Arabidopsis thaliana: one gene and its partner. The protein of the gene in region 1 interacts with the protein of each later gene in a pairwise test. Each region holds a gene or a part of one and is shown on either strand. Other genes may lie near its edges.

What was found.
Region 2: the proteins of PIP2B (region 1) and CHX9 interact in a protein complementation assay, tested with the Arabidopsis thaliana proteins (one large-scale study listed by BioGRID).

The regions. Positions count from the first base shown.
Region 1 is NC_003071.7:15,612,551-15,616,818, forward strand, and holds PIP2B (plasma membrane intrinsic protein 2), read right to left. Parts: upstream 2,473-4,268; 5' UTR 2,371-2,472; coding exon 1,941-2,370; intron 1,820-1,940; coding exon 1,524-1,819; intron 1,433-1,523; coding exon 1,292-1,432; intron 1,194-1,291; coding exon 1,074-1,193; 3' UTR 818-1,073; downstream 1-817.
Region 2 is NC_003076.8:7,660,126-7,665,716, reverse strand, and holds CHX9 (cation/H+ exchanger 9), read left to right. Parts: upstream 1-1,887; coding exon 1,888-2,136; intron 2,137-2,241; coding exon 2,242-2,717; intron 2,718-3,015; coding exon 3,016-3,565; intron 3,566-3,662; coding exon 3,663-4,790; downstream 4,791-5,591. Other genes in the region: AT5G22920 (CHY-type/CTCHY-type/RING-type Zinc finger protein), read right to left, coding at 9-41, 127-186, 314-401, 498-574. UniProt on the Arabidopsis thaliana protein: May operate as a cation/H(+) antiporter.

The DNA of each region.
Region 1 (4,268 bases):
ATTGTTTCAGGTCGTGGTTTCGAAAGGAAACCCTGTGAATATCTCTCCTCGGTACTGAATCTGACTCTATCGATGTGTGGGAGAGAGGCTGAGACATTTCTGGGGATTGATGGAGATGAAAGGAGATAAAGAGAGTTTTCAGATGTAATTAAGAGAAAACAGATCTTTTGGATTTTAGGGTTTATATCCAACAAAAGCTAACCAAAAACTAATAATTCAAGATTGGTGCTTCGGAAGAAGACGCAAAAGTGTATTTTCTTGCAGTTGCAAAACTGTTACGAAATTTTTAAAGTTTTCCTATTATTGTTTCGATTTATGTAAAACCCTGATTTTGGTCTTGAGGCACATTTTTTGGATAATCTACATTGGATTAAAGAAATTTCGAAGTTTTTGTCTGTATGACCATCTATAGGTTTTTAATATTTTGTTCACGCTCTTCTTGATATTGTTATTTCTGAAAATGACGTTTGTATACTTTAAGTAAAGTGACGCAAATTAGTTGTTGAACCAACAGCTTTCCTGCGTAAGCTCTCGTTACAAATTCTATGAGCTTAAACTAGTGAGTGGAATGTCAACTCAAAACTAAGTGTTCAACAAAATTCGTTTTTGGTGTAGATTAATTGAATTTGAGACGATCTTACCAATTGACTTGTGCTTTAGTTGTTGTTTAATTAGGTGATGGCGACAAGCTGACAAAAAAGTGCCAAACACATAAGTTTTTGTTCTGTCTTAATCCTCTTCAGTGGAGGATAATTTAAATCACATGAACTTATAAATTATAACTATTAATGTAGTCTATGTAGATATGCTTTTAGCTGGTAATATCATCTGTATAAAATAAAAAGAGGGAGGAGAAGGCAAAACAATTTGGTTTTCATTAATTGTTTTCCCGAGTACACAAACATTGGCATTGGCACATATCAAAGTATTACACCACAATGAAAACAGAAAAACAAGAAGAAATATAGTGCATAGTTTTACAAGCAAAGTTGCCAATTTTTGTACATACATAATAACACAACCATTTTGTAATTGTTGTTATTATGATAGGTTTTTTTTTGTGTGGCAAAAACTCAAACGTTGGCTGCACTTCTGAAGGATCCAAGTGACTTGGAACCTGAAGCCCTTAGGACAAATTGGTGATAAAATGCAGCTATCGCAGCTCCAATGAATGGTCCCACCCAGAATATCCACTGTATTTAGATAGACCAAAAAAACAGTTCATTATTTTCCCATCAAACAATAGTCCATAATTTGATTAATTTTAAATAATTAAGAAATAGAAACGTACGTGGTCATCCCATGGCTTGCTCTTGTTATAGATTACGGCAGCTCCGAAACTCCTAGCCGGGTTGATGCCGGTTCCGGTGATCGGAATAGTGGCCAAATGTACCATAAACACCGCAAACCCAATCGGAAGTGGCGCCAAAACCTTTCGTTTCATAATTCATAACACTAAGTATTAATTAATGTTATCGTATGTTACCAGAACGATCTTATAACTGATAGAAATAAATACTAACCGGAACGTGGGAGTCTCTAGCGTTACGTTTGGGATCAGTAGCGGAGAAGACTGTGTAGACGAGAACGAATGTTCCAATGATCTCTGCGGCTAGTCCGGTGCCTGTGTTGTAGCCGTCTGCTAGAGAGTTGGCTCCTCCACCGTAACGATCATAGTAAGAGCTTTGAAAGGCTTTGACGAAACCAACTCCACAAATAGCACCCAAACACTGAGCCACCATGTAAAGCACCGCCCTAATCAGCGATACCTTCCGGGCTAAGAACAAACCAAACGTCACCGCAGGGTTTATGTGACCACCTACAAAGTTCTTGGGGTTAATTTCAAATAAATTACAAAACAAAGGACAAATTTGAAAGGTCCACAAATGTTAAATTTTCTGAACCGGGTAATAAACCGGACCGGTTTCGATATATGATACCTGAGATACCGGCGGTGCAGTAGACAAGGATGAAGATCATGCCACCAAAAGCCCACGCGATGCCAAGGATTCCGACGCCGCCGCAGTCAACTCCACCGGCTTTTGTGTCGGACTGAATCTTGTAACCGATGACAGTTAAAACGGTGATGTACAAGAAGAGGAGAGTGGCTACGAACTCGGCAATGACGGCTCTGTATAAAGACCACTTGGTAAGCTCGTCCGCATCGAAAAACGGAGTTGGTGGCGGATCTTCGTAGTCTCTTGTCTGAAATCCCTCAGGTCCTTCCACGTCTTTGGCCATTTCTATAACTTTTTTTGTTATATATGAAAGTTGTGTTTTGTATTGTGGATATGTTGTGTTTGTGAAGACTGAAGAGACGAATGAAAGTTGTTTATATAGAGAGACTATAGCTATAGTGAGTGCTCTCATTAATTTTGCTTGTCAATATACGTTAATAATTGTATACGTGTTATTGATTGATTATATTACGATAATGTTTTCCTTTTGGTAGGCTTATGGTTGTTTTTATTATTCGTTTCAATGAAATGAATATAGAATTGTGTGTATGACGATTATGATTATTTTTGTGGAAACTTTCTTTCACTAATTAATTACCTAGCTAGCTGTCATGATGATATATAATCTAAACCAATCTAATCATTGCTACATAATCAATAGAAACTGATTTTGCTTAATATATTCATGTTCCACTGTTTTTTTTTTGTTTAAGCAGAATTTCCATATACATTAGTATAATTAACTGATGATAGTAAGAATTAGCTACTGCTAAGAGTTTTTCATCTCAATTAGTGTTTGTCATAATATGATAGTTAAGGTATTGTTTTGTTGACAAAATTAACTATAACTAAATTATTATTATTTTGGTTTCAACTTCAACTATTGATACAAATCTGTAACTAAAGATGAACTTATTTGAGATTCTGATTATTTAAAAGAATGATTGTGGAGCTATCAATAGGAACAGAGACCTTTTAATTCTAAAATTATGGTTGATAATGGAGTTTTGTGGTTAATTTAACTTAGCCTCGCCGCCCCATACCTAAACGTTGTTTTCATTTGGACCGACCCTAATATACTATATGCTTCTATATTTTTCTTTCTCTTGTCCTATGTCATGAGCCTTGTCCTCCCCCTAGAATAATATAGACTGTCACTCTTTTACACATAAAATAAATAAAAAATATGAAGTTATGAACCTTATCTATTTGGGCAATACTTGAAAGTTGTTACTTGTTAACGATAAAGCTTTTTGAACTACGAGATAGCTAGATTGATCAATAGTAAAATTTCTGATTATCTAGATTCTATCATCCTTCATTTAATTTCTAGAAGGAGCTCCTTATATAGTTATACTAGTTCTTATGCATGTAATTAGTAACGATTAAATTGACTTCCTATGCTCTTAACGTTACAAATCAAATCTATTAGGTGGATAAAAAAGAGTCTTTTGATAGCTCTCAGCTAACCCTACCATATAACAAAAACATAATTTATCACATGGACATGATAAAAGAAACGGCGTCGCTTCACGGGTTATGTTTCCACTAAAGTAGAAAATATGATGAAAGTTGGGTCCACTGGACCGGAGAAACCGCCCCATATAGAATTGATTAGCTCCGTCAATTGCATCGGCACCGTCCATACAGATTAAGTCCAACTCCAGTTCAGCCGTCCCAACCACTCCTCTTATGCCACGTTGTTTAGTCCCCATATTCAACAATCATTTGCTCTCACTCCTCAATTCCAAATTTCCAATTGCAATTTTCTTACGTATATTATTCAGTATTCACTAATCACTAGTCTGTCTACAAAAATAAATTGGAAAAATAAAAAGTGTACATAGACAAAAGGAATGTGGTGTAATGTGGTGTTCATGGCCAATGTTTTGCCACGTCACAATATCCTTATCGTTGTAGCGACATTTCTCTGCTCTTATTGGATTATATTTCCACGTCAGAAAGGTGCTCTCTCTCTCTCGGTCTCTCCCCTGGTTTTATTTTTGTTTTCTTTCATCTTTGTCGCTTTCTGTTTTGTTAAAGAATTGTCTACTCGATATTGGTTACGAATGGTATTGTTCTCTGTGGAAAAATGGGTTAATTTGTTATGATAAACATTTTTTGTTCCAAACAAATAAATGTTCTTTCATTTCATAGTAAATTTTTTAGTCTTCTGAACACACGTATATATATGCTTGCTAACAATGAATCCACAATAACAGATCATAAAATTACATCTGACTCATATGTAATTCTATCATGATATGTTGAGTCAATATATAGTCGATGGAGTATATATAGAGTTATAAT
Region 2 (5,591 bases), on another chromosome or scaffold:
ATACTCACGTCTTGTTCTGTCTCACAAAGCGAGCATATGACCTGAAAAAAAGTAGACCAAAATTGTTATCACAATGAATAAACAGAATCAAAATGTTCATAAACCAGAATGTTCAAAGTTAAAAACCTTTGAAACTTCATGTCGAGGAAGCTCATGTCTATGATGCTGTTCAATATGAAGAGAATCCTGTTGAAACAAACAAAACACATTAACATCTATAACCAAAACTTGTTCTTCACAAAAACACACACACACACACAAGTTACAAAGACAGAGAAGTAAAAAGACTATTCCTTTAATATTAGTTTTCTACCTTAGCTTCGTTGTGGCAATGTCTGCAATCAAAAATCTCATCACAACATGGTGCTCTAATCTTGCATCGTCTTCTATAATGTGAACACCTAAACACACACACACAAGGATAATCAAATTCAAAAAAAAAAAAAAATGAAACTTTAGCTTCAAAACTCAAAAGAAACTCAAAAGATGTTATTTACCCGTAATGCCCAGATCCAATCTCCATTAGATTCGCAAATTCTTGATTTTGCTCATTTTCATGGAAACCCATATCCATACTTTACCTAAAGTTTTGATCTTTCTTACTTGGAATCAACACCAATCAGATATCAAAATTTGTTGAGAGTAACGAAAGAATAAAAGAAACGTAATTTGAAGAAATGTATTGACGACGTTTGGTAATCAGAAACAGAGGAAGTTGCAGAGATGAAAAAGCAATCATGTTGATGATATTTATTTATATGAAGATGAGTGATGACTCAGCAACACGCCAGATTTTTTATTTTGCCTAATCAACAAATCCCATACTCATTATTAAAAAGGTTTTAACGTTTTTGTTTTTTTTGCTAAATATAAATTTTCTTCTTAATAAACAGAAATATTTTTCCACTTGTTTATGGTTTACTCCTAATTGGAATTCATTAGCAGAATACATAATTTTAAATAATAAAAAATTACATAATAGTTAATTTTAAATAAAATACATAATAGTTAATTAGTCAGAGCCAAATTTCATCAACATTAATGAGAAAACTAGAGGTAAAAAAAATTGAAAATGAAAAGTGAAAAGAGATTCGTTGTCGGACTTTTGTTAAAAAAAATATCTTACTTGTAATTATGCATTAAAAAGAAAGTTATTTTTTTATATTCTATTAGAAAAAGTTTAATGTACTAAGTGAAAGTTAATAACATATGAAACACTCGGTTTAAGATTCAATTCAGTTGGCGACTTGGCGGGTCATTAAGAACAAATTTTTGTGGTGTGTGGGTCAATGTCAATATGTCATGTCTTGTTTTTAAAAAGCAGAAAACAGGATAGGATTGGATAATGGATATGTCCTCCAACTTGATGACTCAATTTTTTGGGTCCACTCTTTTATAAATTCTACTAAAACACACTATGGAATACTTTTTTTTTTTTTTGAAGTTTGATATTAGTAGTGTTAAAGTTGTGGGCTAAGTTCTTGAGTTAGATTAGTAGGTAGTGTCAACTCAATATTTGATCTTCAATGGGCTTAGATTGGGCTTATCTTTTGGGTTTGTTATAAAATAAGTATTTGGTAAAATGGGTTAGTTTCTTTTTCTTTTTTTGGTCAACCAAAATGGTCAAGTTTTAGGAAAGGATTAGAGTGCCTAAGTATCATCATTTATTTGTTGATAAGTTTGACCAAAACGTAACAAAATTATTTCGCAACCAAAAAGTACTAGTCAAAGGGGGGCGCCAACTATTTGATAAACAACAGCAACTGTTTTTTTTTTAAAACAAACCGTTACGTTGTTGAATATTTTGACGTTAAGAATAAATTATCAGCGAAAAAAAACGAAATCGATCTTTTACAAGTTTGACAAAAGCATATCTTCGTCATCATCATGACCGATTCTCAAGCACTAGTTCCTGGGCCTTCACCGCCTCATAGCAAAGCTGAAATTTGTTACGGAGCTACTTTTTTCAACATCTCTTCTTATGGAATCATGGAAAAATATGAAACTCCTACTGTTATCTTCGGATATGCATTGCCTCTCCTTGAGCTGCAGATCATTCTCATCTTCGTTTGCATCGTCTTATCTCATATGTTCCTCAGACGTATTGGCATACCACGGTTCGTCTCCAACATACTTGTAAGTTAAGAAAAACGTCCACAACTGTCAATTTCTTGTATCGCAAGTACCAAACGCTTGGTTTCTTGTACTGCAAGTAACAATTTTTTTTTTTTTTTGAACTAGGCTGGTTTGATTCTTGGACCTCAGCTGCTTGATCTTCTGGAGTATTCATCGGACCGATTATCGTTAGACATCCCCGGAAACGTAGCGTTGGAAGGTGTGGCCAGGCTTGGGTTGGTAATGTTCACGTTCTTAATGGGCGTGAAGACCAACAAGAGAGCGGTGTATCAAATCGGTAAACGTCCGATAGTAATCGCGGTTTCGTCCTTTTTCGTGACTATGATCAGCGGGTTAGCCTTCAGAAACTTCCGTCTCGACAAGGTCGACCCTCTTTATATGCCTCTGAGGCTAGCCCCAACAGAACGCTCCGTGATTGTATCGATTCAAGCAGTAACGCTGTTACCGGTCATAACCCACCTCGTATATGAGCTGAAGATGTCAAACTCCGAGCTCGGCCGCATCGCCATATCTACAGCCGCCGTCAGCGATTTCCTTGGATTTCTCACTCTAGTATGCATCTCCTACGTTGGAACATACAGGTATGTAAGACGTCGATTAATTTAGGAATCTAATTGGTGCATTTGCATACAAAACTACTTACCTCATTAAATATACTTTTGTAGTAATCAAAGTCTACAAATCCGGAGACCTAAAGCAATATATATAATGCTCTAAAACTGGTTAAAAGTTTGATCAACGAAAAGTTACCGTTTTATTGTCTATAAAGCAATACTAATTGTTATCTACACAATAGACGGCACCGGAGTGTTTGATTAGTAATGTATATCTACTATCTAACGAACATTATTTGCTATAATAGTTTGAAACGGTCTGCAGGTATGTATCGCCCGGAATAGCCAACCGCGACATAGTGGCATTGATCATCTTAGTCCTTGTGATCCTATTCATCTTCAAGCCAATGGCACAACGAATAGTGGACATGACCCCAGAAGGCAAGCCCGTACCGAAAGTCTACTTATACGTAACAATCCTGACCGCAATCGCCGCGAGTATATACTTAAGTGTTTTCAACCAAATGTACATTCTAGGAGCTTTATTGGTGGGGTTGGCAATCCCAGACGGTCCGCCTCTGGGATCTGCGTTAGAGGCAAGGTTCGAGAGCTTGGTTACAAACATATTTTTCCCTATTTCAATCGCGGTCATGGCGATGAAAGCTGACGTTGTAAGAGCATTGTATTCGTTCGATGACATTTCCTTTAACATACTTCTACTGGGTCTTACAGTGGTAGTGAAATGGACTGCCTCTTTTGTACCTTGCTTGATCTTCTGCGAGTTACCTACTAGAGAATCCGTTATCATCGCCACTATCATGAACTATAAGGGTTTTGTTGACTTATGCTTCTTCGATGTCGCCTTAAGAAGAAGGGTAAAATAATCTTCATCTAACCTACACTCTACATGTATATATATTGCATCATATGGTTTTGAATTAATGGTTGAATGTTTTTTGTTTTCTTTAACAGAATTTGTCGCGAGCAACGTACACGGTCATGATTATTTACGTGCTATTGAACGCGGGGATTTTGCCTACGATTATAAAAGCACTATATGATCCAAAGAGGAAGTATATTGGATATGTCAAGAGAGACATTATGCATCTTAAAACAAACTCAGATCTCAAGATTCTAACTTGTTTGCACAAGCCTGACAACATCTCAGGTGCGATCTCGCTACTTGAATTGCTTTCCTCGCCGCTAAACAACGATAACAAAGACAGAGGAGTCATTGCTGTCACGGCGTTACACCTAGTGAAACTCGCAGGACGTACGTTTCCCATCTTGATACCTCATGACAAGCGGTCTAAAGCGCGGTTGCTTCAAAACTCTTACATACAAACAATGATGCTCGCGTTCACCGAGTTTCAACAAGAGAATTGGGAATCTACCACTGTTAGTTCCTTCACAGCTTATTCTCATGAGAACCTAATGGATCAAGACATTTGCAATCTTGCTTTAGACCACCTCACATCGATGATCATTGTCCCTTCGGGACGAAAATGGTCACCCGATGGAGAATATGAATCAGACGATATTATGATCAGACGTGTTAATGAATCTCTCCTTGACCTCGCTCCATGTTCTGTCGGCATACTTAACTACCGAGGATATAATAAAGGTAAGAAAAAGACCAACAGTATCATTAACGTTGGTGTGATCTTCATTGGTGGTAAAGATGATCGTGAGGCGCTTTCCCTTGCGAAATGGATGGGACAGAACTCGAGAGTGTGTCTTACTGTTATCAGATTTTTGTCTGGTCAAGAACTAGATAAGTCCAAGAATTGGGATTACCTTGTTGACGACGAGGTCTTGAATGATTTGAAAGCGACATATTCATTGGCCAACAATTTTAACTATATGGAGAAGGTAGTCAACGGTGGACCTGCGGTGGCCACCACCGTTAGATTGGTGGCGGAAGACCATGATTTGATGATTGTAGGAAGAGATCACGAAGATTATTCGCTGGACTTAACAGGGTTGGCACAGTGGATGGAGCTTCCGGAGTTAGGAGTCATCGGAGATTTGCTTGCATCCAAAGATTTAAGAGCTAGGGTTTCTGTTTTAGTAGTTCAACAACAACAACAACATGGATGAGTGTAACATATGTCAGTGAATGATCTCAAAAAAAAAAATTGAATTATACTCGCATCATGGGTAAATGTTAGAATTTACATTTGACGTGGAAATAGATTTAATATAATTGATCTAAACAACATTGGTTAATCCATTCATTACCAAATTGTTTTTGAGTAAGAAACTCATGCATATATTGTTCCTAAAATAGTATATATCAAATCAATAATCCGGTATTTTTGAGAGATGAGTTGTTCTGCTCTAACATAGTATACAAAGATGAGTTTGACGCAGTTGGAATACATTGATAAGCCAGTTAATTATTGATTTATCTAAATTTAGTGTTCATTAAAATTGTATTTTAAATGTATGCAAATAATCCATTTCGTACTACTTAGCACAGTTAATTTGCACAGAATTATTCCAAATATCTAAATCTTGGCGCTTTGTTGAAGCAAACACTACTGCTAAAAAATTAAAAAATTAAAAAAATAATAATAATAATAATAAATAAATAACAAAATTGAAAATTTCACCTGAGCTTTAATGAAAAAAAATACGAGTAATGTGCACAATGTAGTTCTATAACCACTCCTATGAATATCCAATGATTTCTAAAACACAGATTATGTAAGAGAAAAATTCAAACGTGAGATATCTCCATTGTTCATCCGAGCTCAAGCACAACAAAGGTTTCAGTGAAACTGATCGAAAAATAAGTGAAAATGTCTTGTATTTTACTTCGATTTCTTACATTGTTCAACATGAAATTTCAAACTATTTTAACCTAAATAAATATGTTCGATCTTGACCAGTTTCTCT